2 linked regions of the Rattus norvegicus genome follow. The protein of the gene in region 1 purifies or fractionates together with the protein of each later gene. This does not show direct contact. Links are inferred from orthologs where the notes say so. Each region holds a gene or a part of one and is shown on either strand. Other genes may lie near its edges.

Region 1 (4,574 bases):
CCAGTATCCACATTAAGCTACCACCTGTAACTCCAGCTCCAGAGAATCCATGCTTCTGCCTCTACATTCATTATATACAGACACACATAATTTTTAAAAATTAAAAAATTAATCTTTTATAAAACTGTGGTTCTTTCCAAAAATATTTCATCTAGAAAACCAGGGATAATGTTTTTCCTACTGGTATCTGGGTAGACCTAACGTAAGCTGCAGAGTCTGAAAGAGCCCTGCGTGCCTTACTCCAGCTGTCCTGAGGAACGGAGATCTTACTCCAGGCACACTTGCCAAGAGAACGGAGTAAATCCCTGCTCTACCATTAGCTAGCTGGCCCAACTCCTTACAAATGACCGCCAGTCCCATCTACTTTAAGCACTCTTGAATCTTAAATTAAATCTCTAATCACCAACAATTGAGGACACATCCATAAATAAAAATATTCCACACACACATAAAAATAACAATAGTTATAGCCCTATGTGGGGGCATGCCTGTAACCCCAGCACTGAAGAGGCTCAGAAAGGAGAACAGTTGAGTTGCATTTGGAGATCAGCCTGGGCAGCACAGAAAAATCCTGTCTTTAAAACAATTTTTAATTAATATTCGGAAAGCACTTCATGTTACTTCATTAAACACACCTAGTAACCGTGCAAATCAGGCAGACAGGTGTCATTACCCATGTTTTATAGATAAGCTGAGACAGACAGGACCAGAAGCAAGAATAATGAAGATCTAGCTTTAAACTCAAGACTATGGAGCTAAAATCCTCCAATTTCAATTTTTTCCCAATATACCTTGTCACTTGACAAGGGATGTCACTGCAGACAGGGATGCAGCCTTAGGATGGCAGTATCAAATGACCTTCAACTGCTGCTAAGTAAACAAGGCTGTAAGGACCAAGTCCCAAAGTCACACATCATCACAAACCCAATGCGAGAAAGTACCACCTCTTCTTGGAAGGACAAGGAATTCAATCACACTTTGCTCCTGGGAAACCAAGGGTGACTGTCACTTATAACAGAGGCTAACACTGTCAAGAAGTGAAGAGACTAAATTAGCAATCTTTTACACCAAAAGACAGTTTCAGTTGAAATGATATATGCTCACAATTAAATAAAGCAGGGAGAAAGAAAAAAAAAAAAAAAGACCTCCTTACCATTATTATGTTACATTTAGAGTAAGCTCCACTTCGGACAGTTACCTCTCCTTGATCTTGTTACACAATACCATACTTCACTGTCTCTTAACCCAAGTCAGGAATCTACTCAACTCTAGACTCAAACCTGTTATCAAAATAAACAAACAACCCTATGCCCCCTCTAAGAACTACAACTAGACTTCCAGACGCTGAAGCCATCTGAAGTTACCGATTTAGATTTTCCCAACTCTAAATCAATCCACTGGTTCCACATTTTTAACCCTTAGGAAGCTGTCAATCACAGTCACGTGTCAATTATAACCTCACAGCATAGAGTTTACTGTAACAAAATAAACACATACTTATTAAATCTCTTGAGTATCTAATAATATTGAGTTCTCTGCCGTGGAAATTAGACAGCAATTATATTTCTGGTGTTTACAAGTAGGACTAAGCAATTCGGGATATGCTTATTTTTAGAAAAATTTTTTTCCATTGTTGGTTACTATCCTACTTTGGGAACTTCCATACTCCTGAAGGACTTAAGACATTTAGCCTGTTAAATTAATAACTAAGAATCCCAGAGAGGTCCCATTAACTGGCACAAATGAAGTTAACAAAAAACGAACTACAAGATACAGTGACAACCAAGCACCTCAATTCTTGCACGGGTAACACACTCAACGGCACCCCCACACAAACCTCCCCATCTCTCATCAACTGACGAAGACCGGTCCACAAGGTCTCCTTTGCAAACTGTCACACAACAAAAGTCAGGACGTGTGTCTCAGCTTCGCCGTCCAATTCCAAACACCCCAGAGCCACTACATTTAAGCGATTCCCATAGCAAATTACCCAGGGCATTCTCTGTTATTACCAAAGTGCCAAGCAGTTCCCAGGGGTGCCCAGCAAATGATAATTTAGTTCCCAGGATAGGCTCCTCGCCACACAAGGATGACTTCCCTACTTGGTGCCAACTGTACACTTGCACACTCCGAAAACAGGGGGCGAGCCCTGAATAGCAAGGGTTACGAGGGCAACGTCTGTATTTTTATTATAGGCTCAGAAGATTCCCCAATGCTGAAAAGCGCGACCTATAACCCTAGAGTCAATTTCCAACTGTGCTCTCCCCCAGGACCATTCTACCCCAAACAGAAGCCAATCGTTAGTTTTAACAAGGCCTAGAGAGGAGAGGAGAGAAAAAAAATCGTGGGGTTTAAAGAAGAAGAAAAAAGTTCACCTAAGAGACACGGGAAAGGTGAGGGCTTCGAGGGAGAGGGAGGTCAACACCAACGGTGCTGAAACGCGAACTACAAAAGACCCTTTCTGCCCTGGAGTGCAGGGCAGCGGGGCACGGTCAGTCATTCCGATGGAGTGCGGGGGGTCAGGGGTTCCCCCCAAGGCCCGCAGCTTTGTCCGGCCGCGCCGCGGGGCCGGCCAGGGGTGTGCGCTGCGGCCGGGCGCGGCCCCCGACCGCGGGCCCCTTCCTCGCGCGGCTCCCCAGCGCCAGGCCTCTCCCCGCCGCTGTCCCCGCCACCTCCCCTCCCCCTTCCCGGACCCCGGCAACTTTCCCCGGCCTCGCCTCACCTCTCAGCAGCACGCAGAAGCTGCAGGCCAGGAGGCTCCTCAGCACGGCCCCCATCTTCCCCCCCACCGCGCGCGCTCGCGGCCCTCACCGGCGACCGGCGGCCAGGGGACGCGCGGGCGAGGAGCCGGGGCGGCCGCCGCAGCGGCGGGTCTGCACGCTCATGCTTTCCGCGGCCGGGAGAAGAAAGAAAAGGGCGCACGTCAGGGATCTAGCGCGCCGCTCCGGCCCGGGCTCGCGCGACGCCAGCGCCTGCCCCCATGCCGCCGCCTCCTCCCGCGGCGCCCCACGTCCCCCGCGCGGCGCCTCATTCAGCCTCTTCCTCTCGCAGCGGCGCAGGGATCCGCCGCGGGGCCGCCGCCGTCTCCCTGCGCGCCCGACCTCCTCCTCAGCGCGCCGCGGCCAGACCCCCGGAGCCGCGGCCGCCGCGCGCGCTGACTCCCCGCGGAGCCCCCGCGAGGTGGGCCTCGCGAGCCCCGCCAGGCTGAGGGGGAAAGGTCTTCCCGAGGCGCATTCCGATGGGATTCTTTCCCGGGGCGGCGGAGGGCGTGAGGCGACGTCGGCCGACACTGAGGCCGGCGTGGTCGGGACTACTTTCTGCGTCCCGGCCCGTCGCCGCCCGCGCCGCTCTTTGTGCGCCCGGCCGCGGAGCCAGGTGGAGCTGCGGGCTCCGGGCTGTCCGGGACGTAGGAAAATCAAAGTGCAAGTGCGGCTTACACTCGCTCGAAGCCGCGGACGAGGTTGAAGGGTGTGCAGAAGCCAACGCGGAGCAGAACCCTAATGGGTTGAATTGGGGATCATCATAGGGAGTAAAATAAACAGGACTCAGACTTTTAAAAAAAAAGTATGTTTTCTCTCAGTGTGGAGCCTGCTTTACATATACACATAAAGTCACACGCATGGGAAAACGACCAGACTTGAATAGACAAAGATTGTAGGATTTTTATACACATAAATAAGGTTTACTCAGACAAGTATTCCCTCATATGCGGATCTAGGGTGTGTGTGTGTGTGTGTGTGTGTGTAGTAATGCTTTTATATATGAGTTAACACATTGATGATAAAAAGATAAAAGTGTGACTATCTGGGGGAAAAGAATGAAGCTAATGGTGGGGGAAGAGGCACACATCGAGGTTAATACCTTAAAAAAAAATTACATGCTTGAATTGTATCCGTCATTACATGCAAGAAAAAAATTAAAGAAAAAAACAGAATTTTTTTTAACTTGTCTTCCAAGAAATACAATTTTTTTTTGTGAACTAACCTGACAAGAACTAAAGCTTTCTAAACTGAGAGAGAAAATCCTTAGATAAAGGCATCAGTACCTAAGAGCAAAGAGAAAATAAAACATGGCTGTTGGACAGTGGGTTTACAAGTTTGAGGAAAAGAAAAAAGAAAAGCCCCCACAACAACCTCTACCACTACTAGTGCAGTGGGCATTCCCAAGTAATGGCCCAGATGCCCTCTGCATTCACCTGGCCAGCTTCTGCCTTAGGCTGGCCAGCTCCAAGAATTAACCATAAGAAAACCATTAGCTGCCTTCTGTCCAGCCTTCACACACCTTTTCTGAAGGCAAATGGGTAGGGGCTCATCTAGGACTTGCAAGCACATTATCAGATGGGCCACTCGGAGCTCACCTGAGATAAGACTGGCTGTTCTGTGATCCCCTTGGCACACATGAAGAAAATGAGAATTTGAGACACTCAGTGACTTATCAAGGCCACTCGAGTCCTGAGTAACAGAACCTGAAGCAACCAGCTTGGAGGATTGTACAAGAGTGTTGGGAGATGTTTGCGGGGAAGGCTGACAAGTTAGCTCAGTGGGTAAAGGCACTTGTCACCAAGCCTGACAGCC
Region 2 (3,808 bases), on another chromosome or scaffold:
GAGTTTCTCTTACCACATATTAGCCACCTGAGCCTGAAGTCAGTGCCTCCCCCATCCACATATAAGGTGGATGGACACACACACACACCACACACACGCACCACAAATAAGTGTAAAAATACCTTTTTTTTTATAGAGAAAGGTGAAGAAACAAGTTTCAAAGCTATGCTCTCTTCTGGAGAGCACCATCATGCTGCTCAAGTTGCATACATCAGAACACACAATCAGAACTCCCTTCAGCAGATCACGCCATGGAGGGAAAAGGTCCAATTCTAGAAATCCAAGCACAGCCATCAGGAGTTTCTGAACCCTCCAACAACTGTCTACACAGACTAAACTGCCCCACTACTGTCTCATCCTCCAGAAAGAATCCAAAGTACTGACTAAAAAATTAGCAAGATGTGGAAGGGAGTGGAATGATGGGTTAAAAGTTAAAAGTATGGGGGTTGGGGATTTAGCTCAGTGGTAGAGCACTTGCCTAGCAAGCGCAAGGCCCTGAGTTCGGTCCCCAGCTCTGAAAAAAAAAAAAAAAAGAAAGAAAAAGAAAAGTTAAAAGTATTTGTTGTTCTTATAGAGGGCATGAGTTGATTACCAGCACCTATGTGGTGGCTCACAACCATCTGTTAACTCCAGTCTCAGGGGATCTGGCACCCCCTTCTGGGCAGCAGGCACATACATGGTGCACATACATATGCACATACATACATACAAAACACTCATCCCCATAAAAAAACTAAATGAATCTAAAATAAAAATAAAGTAATTATAATTGTCTATGTATTTGAATGTATTTCCCTCTCATTATTAAGGGTTAAGATCCTTCTATGCAAGAAGACATGAATTTTGTGCTAAATGGTAAAGTTTAAACATTATGACTTCTGGGTTAGAGAGATAGCTCAGTGGTTAAGAGCACTGATTGCGGGGTTGGGGATTTAGCTCAGTGGTAGAGCGCTTGCCTAGGAAGCGCAAGGCCCTGGGTTCGGTCCCCAGCTCCGAAAAAAAAAAAAAAAGAACCCAAAAAAAAAAAAAAAAAAAGAGCACTGATTGCTCTTCCAGAGGTTCTGAGTTCAAATCCCAGCAACCACATGGTGACTCACAACCATCTGTAATGGGATCTGATGCCCTTTTCTGGTATGTTTGAAGATAACTACAGTGTACTTATATATAATGAATAAATAAATCTTTAAAAAAAAAAACAAACCAAACCATTATAGCTTCTAAGAATTCTCACGCTTCTAATAATTCACAAGCCATATGCTTATAATTCACAAAGCCCTATATTTAGTAGTACACGTGTTACTAAAGAGGGAACTCAAAGAGTTTCCTCCATGCTATGCAAGAACTCTCCTAAGCCTTTACTCTTTTTCATTTTGAATCTCTACAAGTTGCCCAGAATGACACACAATTTTTCGATTCTCCTACCTCAGCTTCCCAAGTAGGTGGGATTACACCTGGCAAGTCTTGTTTGTTGCGTTCTCAATGCCACAAAATATAAGAAGGTATCTAATAACAAGTATGAAGTATCTAAGTAGGAAATAAAACTATAATTCAGCAGCAGCAGCAGCAGCAGCAGCAGCAGCAGCAGCAGAGATCTCAGCTGGGGTTAAAAACAAGGCCACCTGTTACCAACACCTTTCCCTCGCTCCTTTGCCAGGTCTCTGAGCTGTGTAGAGAAAATGGACACCCTGTGCCGAACTCACCTGAGCTCTCTGCCTTCGTTGTACCGTCTACTTGAGGGGGCCCTCGGGGCAGCAGTCTCCAATAGCAGCTTCTGGGTGAGCCTGCTGGGGGGGACAGAGTCTCGGCCATCATCCTCATCTGCATCTTGGTCACATTTCCATTCTTCATCTTCATTCAAAGTGGGCAAGTATCCAGACATGCCCTTCCCTGTCCCGGACCCTGAGCTCTGGTCACTGCAGACCTTTGGACTTTCTGAGCCTGTCCTTGTGTACTCCAAATAAATGTCAGACTTAAGGAAGGAAGGGTAGGTGTTCTCCTCCATGGTGGACTGGATTTCTGTCTGTGCCTGGTCAAACATGGCAGGATCGATCTGCTGCTTCATGACGCAGTCCTTTATGAAGCTCTTAGTGGCTGGCTTGGTTTGTCTGGACACAATGCCATTGCTATCCAGGATGTACTTTCGGTAGATGGCTCTTGCCAGCTTCAGCCTCTTTTCCTCATTTGAGTCACAAGGCTCAAGCTTTCTGAAGCCACTGCAGGCAAACCAGAAGTCCAGCAGGTCAGCACAGCCCTCCTGCTTCAGGAAAGTCCTGAACAGGCTGATCCCATCTTGGTCATCCAGTAAGGAATGCAGTGACTCAGCCCACCTCAAGTATGGTGGGGTGGGGGAGGCACTGCCCTCAGGCTCATATCCCAGATCCAGATCTGAACGTCTTGGGGTGGCTGTTGAGGTCTCACTTTTAATGCTGGTACCTTTCCCAGAGCAGAAACTGTGGTTGACAGGCCTCGAATCAGTGGATACCAGTTCTCCCTCTTCTCCAGGCACTGGGGGCCGGGGGGCATCTTCGGTGAAACTTGCTCCGAGGTCCAAGGGGAAACCCTGCTCCTGGACATTCATTTTGGGACTCTGCATCAGTGAACAATGAGCGCTGCACCCTAATACCTCAGTACTTACAGCTCCCAAGGGAATCAATCTCTCCTGTTAAAACCATTAAGAGGACAAGGATTAGGAAAGGTGGTCCATGGAAACACCAGAGGTTCTCTTGAGATGTGCAGGGATGCCCTCCCACTCCCACTTGGAGCAGAGACTCAGTGCAGACTTCTAGCAGAGACATATTTTGGCCACAATTTTTGCTCTATCATTAAGGCAATTTCTGGAACTTTTACAAGACTGCCTCTCACACTAAGTGAAAGTCTGGATCATGGGGGACATCTCTCCTTCAAAGGATGCCTTCAGTGGTAAGGCCTGAAGATCACCCATCCTGGCTAAAGAAATGAATGTCAAGAGGACAAGAAAGCTAGAAAAAGGTGCCTCTGTCCCCAGTCACCAGCATCACATCAGTCAGTTGGTCCCTCATCCATGAAGACAATCACCACACTTGCCCTAGTGACACTCAGAAACAAAGAAGAGGCACACTACAGATCCTCAGGTAGACAGGCATAGGGCAAGTTTAACAGAGTCTCTATTTTCTGTCTATTCTATTATTTTTCATACTTGGCATGCCTTATGAGCAACCACACAGCAAGATGTCCTTCCAGCTCTCAACAAGTAAGAGATCAAGTGATCATAGGCTGGCTACCTTGCACACCTTGGACCAGTGATGGAAGAACACAGTCCACACTCAGAGGCATCTATGCATTGTCTACACAGACAACTTTAGAGATTCAGAAAGCTGTACTTGGCTGCTAATTTCTCTCTTACAAGAAGATTCCCTTCTGATAGCATATGGTGACTTTGGAAAGACAGAAAAGGTACAGAAAAAAAAAATCAGTTACAAATACAAGTATGCTTTTTCAATAAAGAAGCATACAAGAAATGTGATTTAGCTCCGCCAAATGAAAACTGTACCACCTATACCTTTGTTGCCGTGTGGGGTGTGCAAAAGGGAGCAAATTTGTTCAAATTTGGATTGGACCCTGCTATGATCTCTGGTCCTTTCTGCTACATCTGATATATCTCAACATATCCAAAGGGGAGACAGCAACAAAGCCCCAATTGGTCCCAGCTAAAGTGAGCTAGAGAGGCATATGTCAGGGTCAGGTAACCGGAACAAAATGAATCCTAAAAACAAAAGACAGGCATCATGGTTCATGCTTGTACTCTCAGCACTCAGGAGACTGAGGCAAG

The links.
Region 2: the proteins of Lrp6 (region 1) and Axin1 purify together in Homo sapiens (affinity purification with western blotting; 7 studies listed by BioGRID and IntAct, with this or other methods). This does not show direct contact. The link is inferred for Rattus norvegicus from reciprocal best matches to the Homo sapiens genes LRP6 and AXIN1.

What each region holds. Positions count from the first base shown.
Region 1 is NC_086022.1:169,128,654-169,133,227, forward strand, and holds the start of Lrp6 (low-density lipoprotein receptor-related protein 6 isoform 2 precursor), read right to left. Parts: upstream 3,064-4,574; 5' UTR 2,778-3,063; coding exon 2,723-2,777; intron 1-2,722. UniProt on the Homo sapiens protein: Component of the Wnt-Fzd-LRP5-LRP6 complex that triggers beta-catenin signaling through inducing aggregation of receptor-ligand complexes into ribosome-sized signalosomes.
Region 2 is NC_086028.1:15,670,751-15,674,558, reverse strand, and holds part of Axin1 (axin-1), read right to left. Parts: intron 2,660-3,808; 5' UTR 2,594-2,659; coding exon 1,701-2,593; intron 1-1,700. UniProt on the Homo sapiens protein: Component of the beta-catenin destruction complex required for regulating CTNNB1 levels through phosphorylation and ubiquitination, and modulating Wnt-signaling.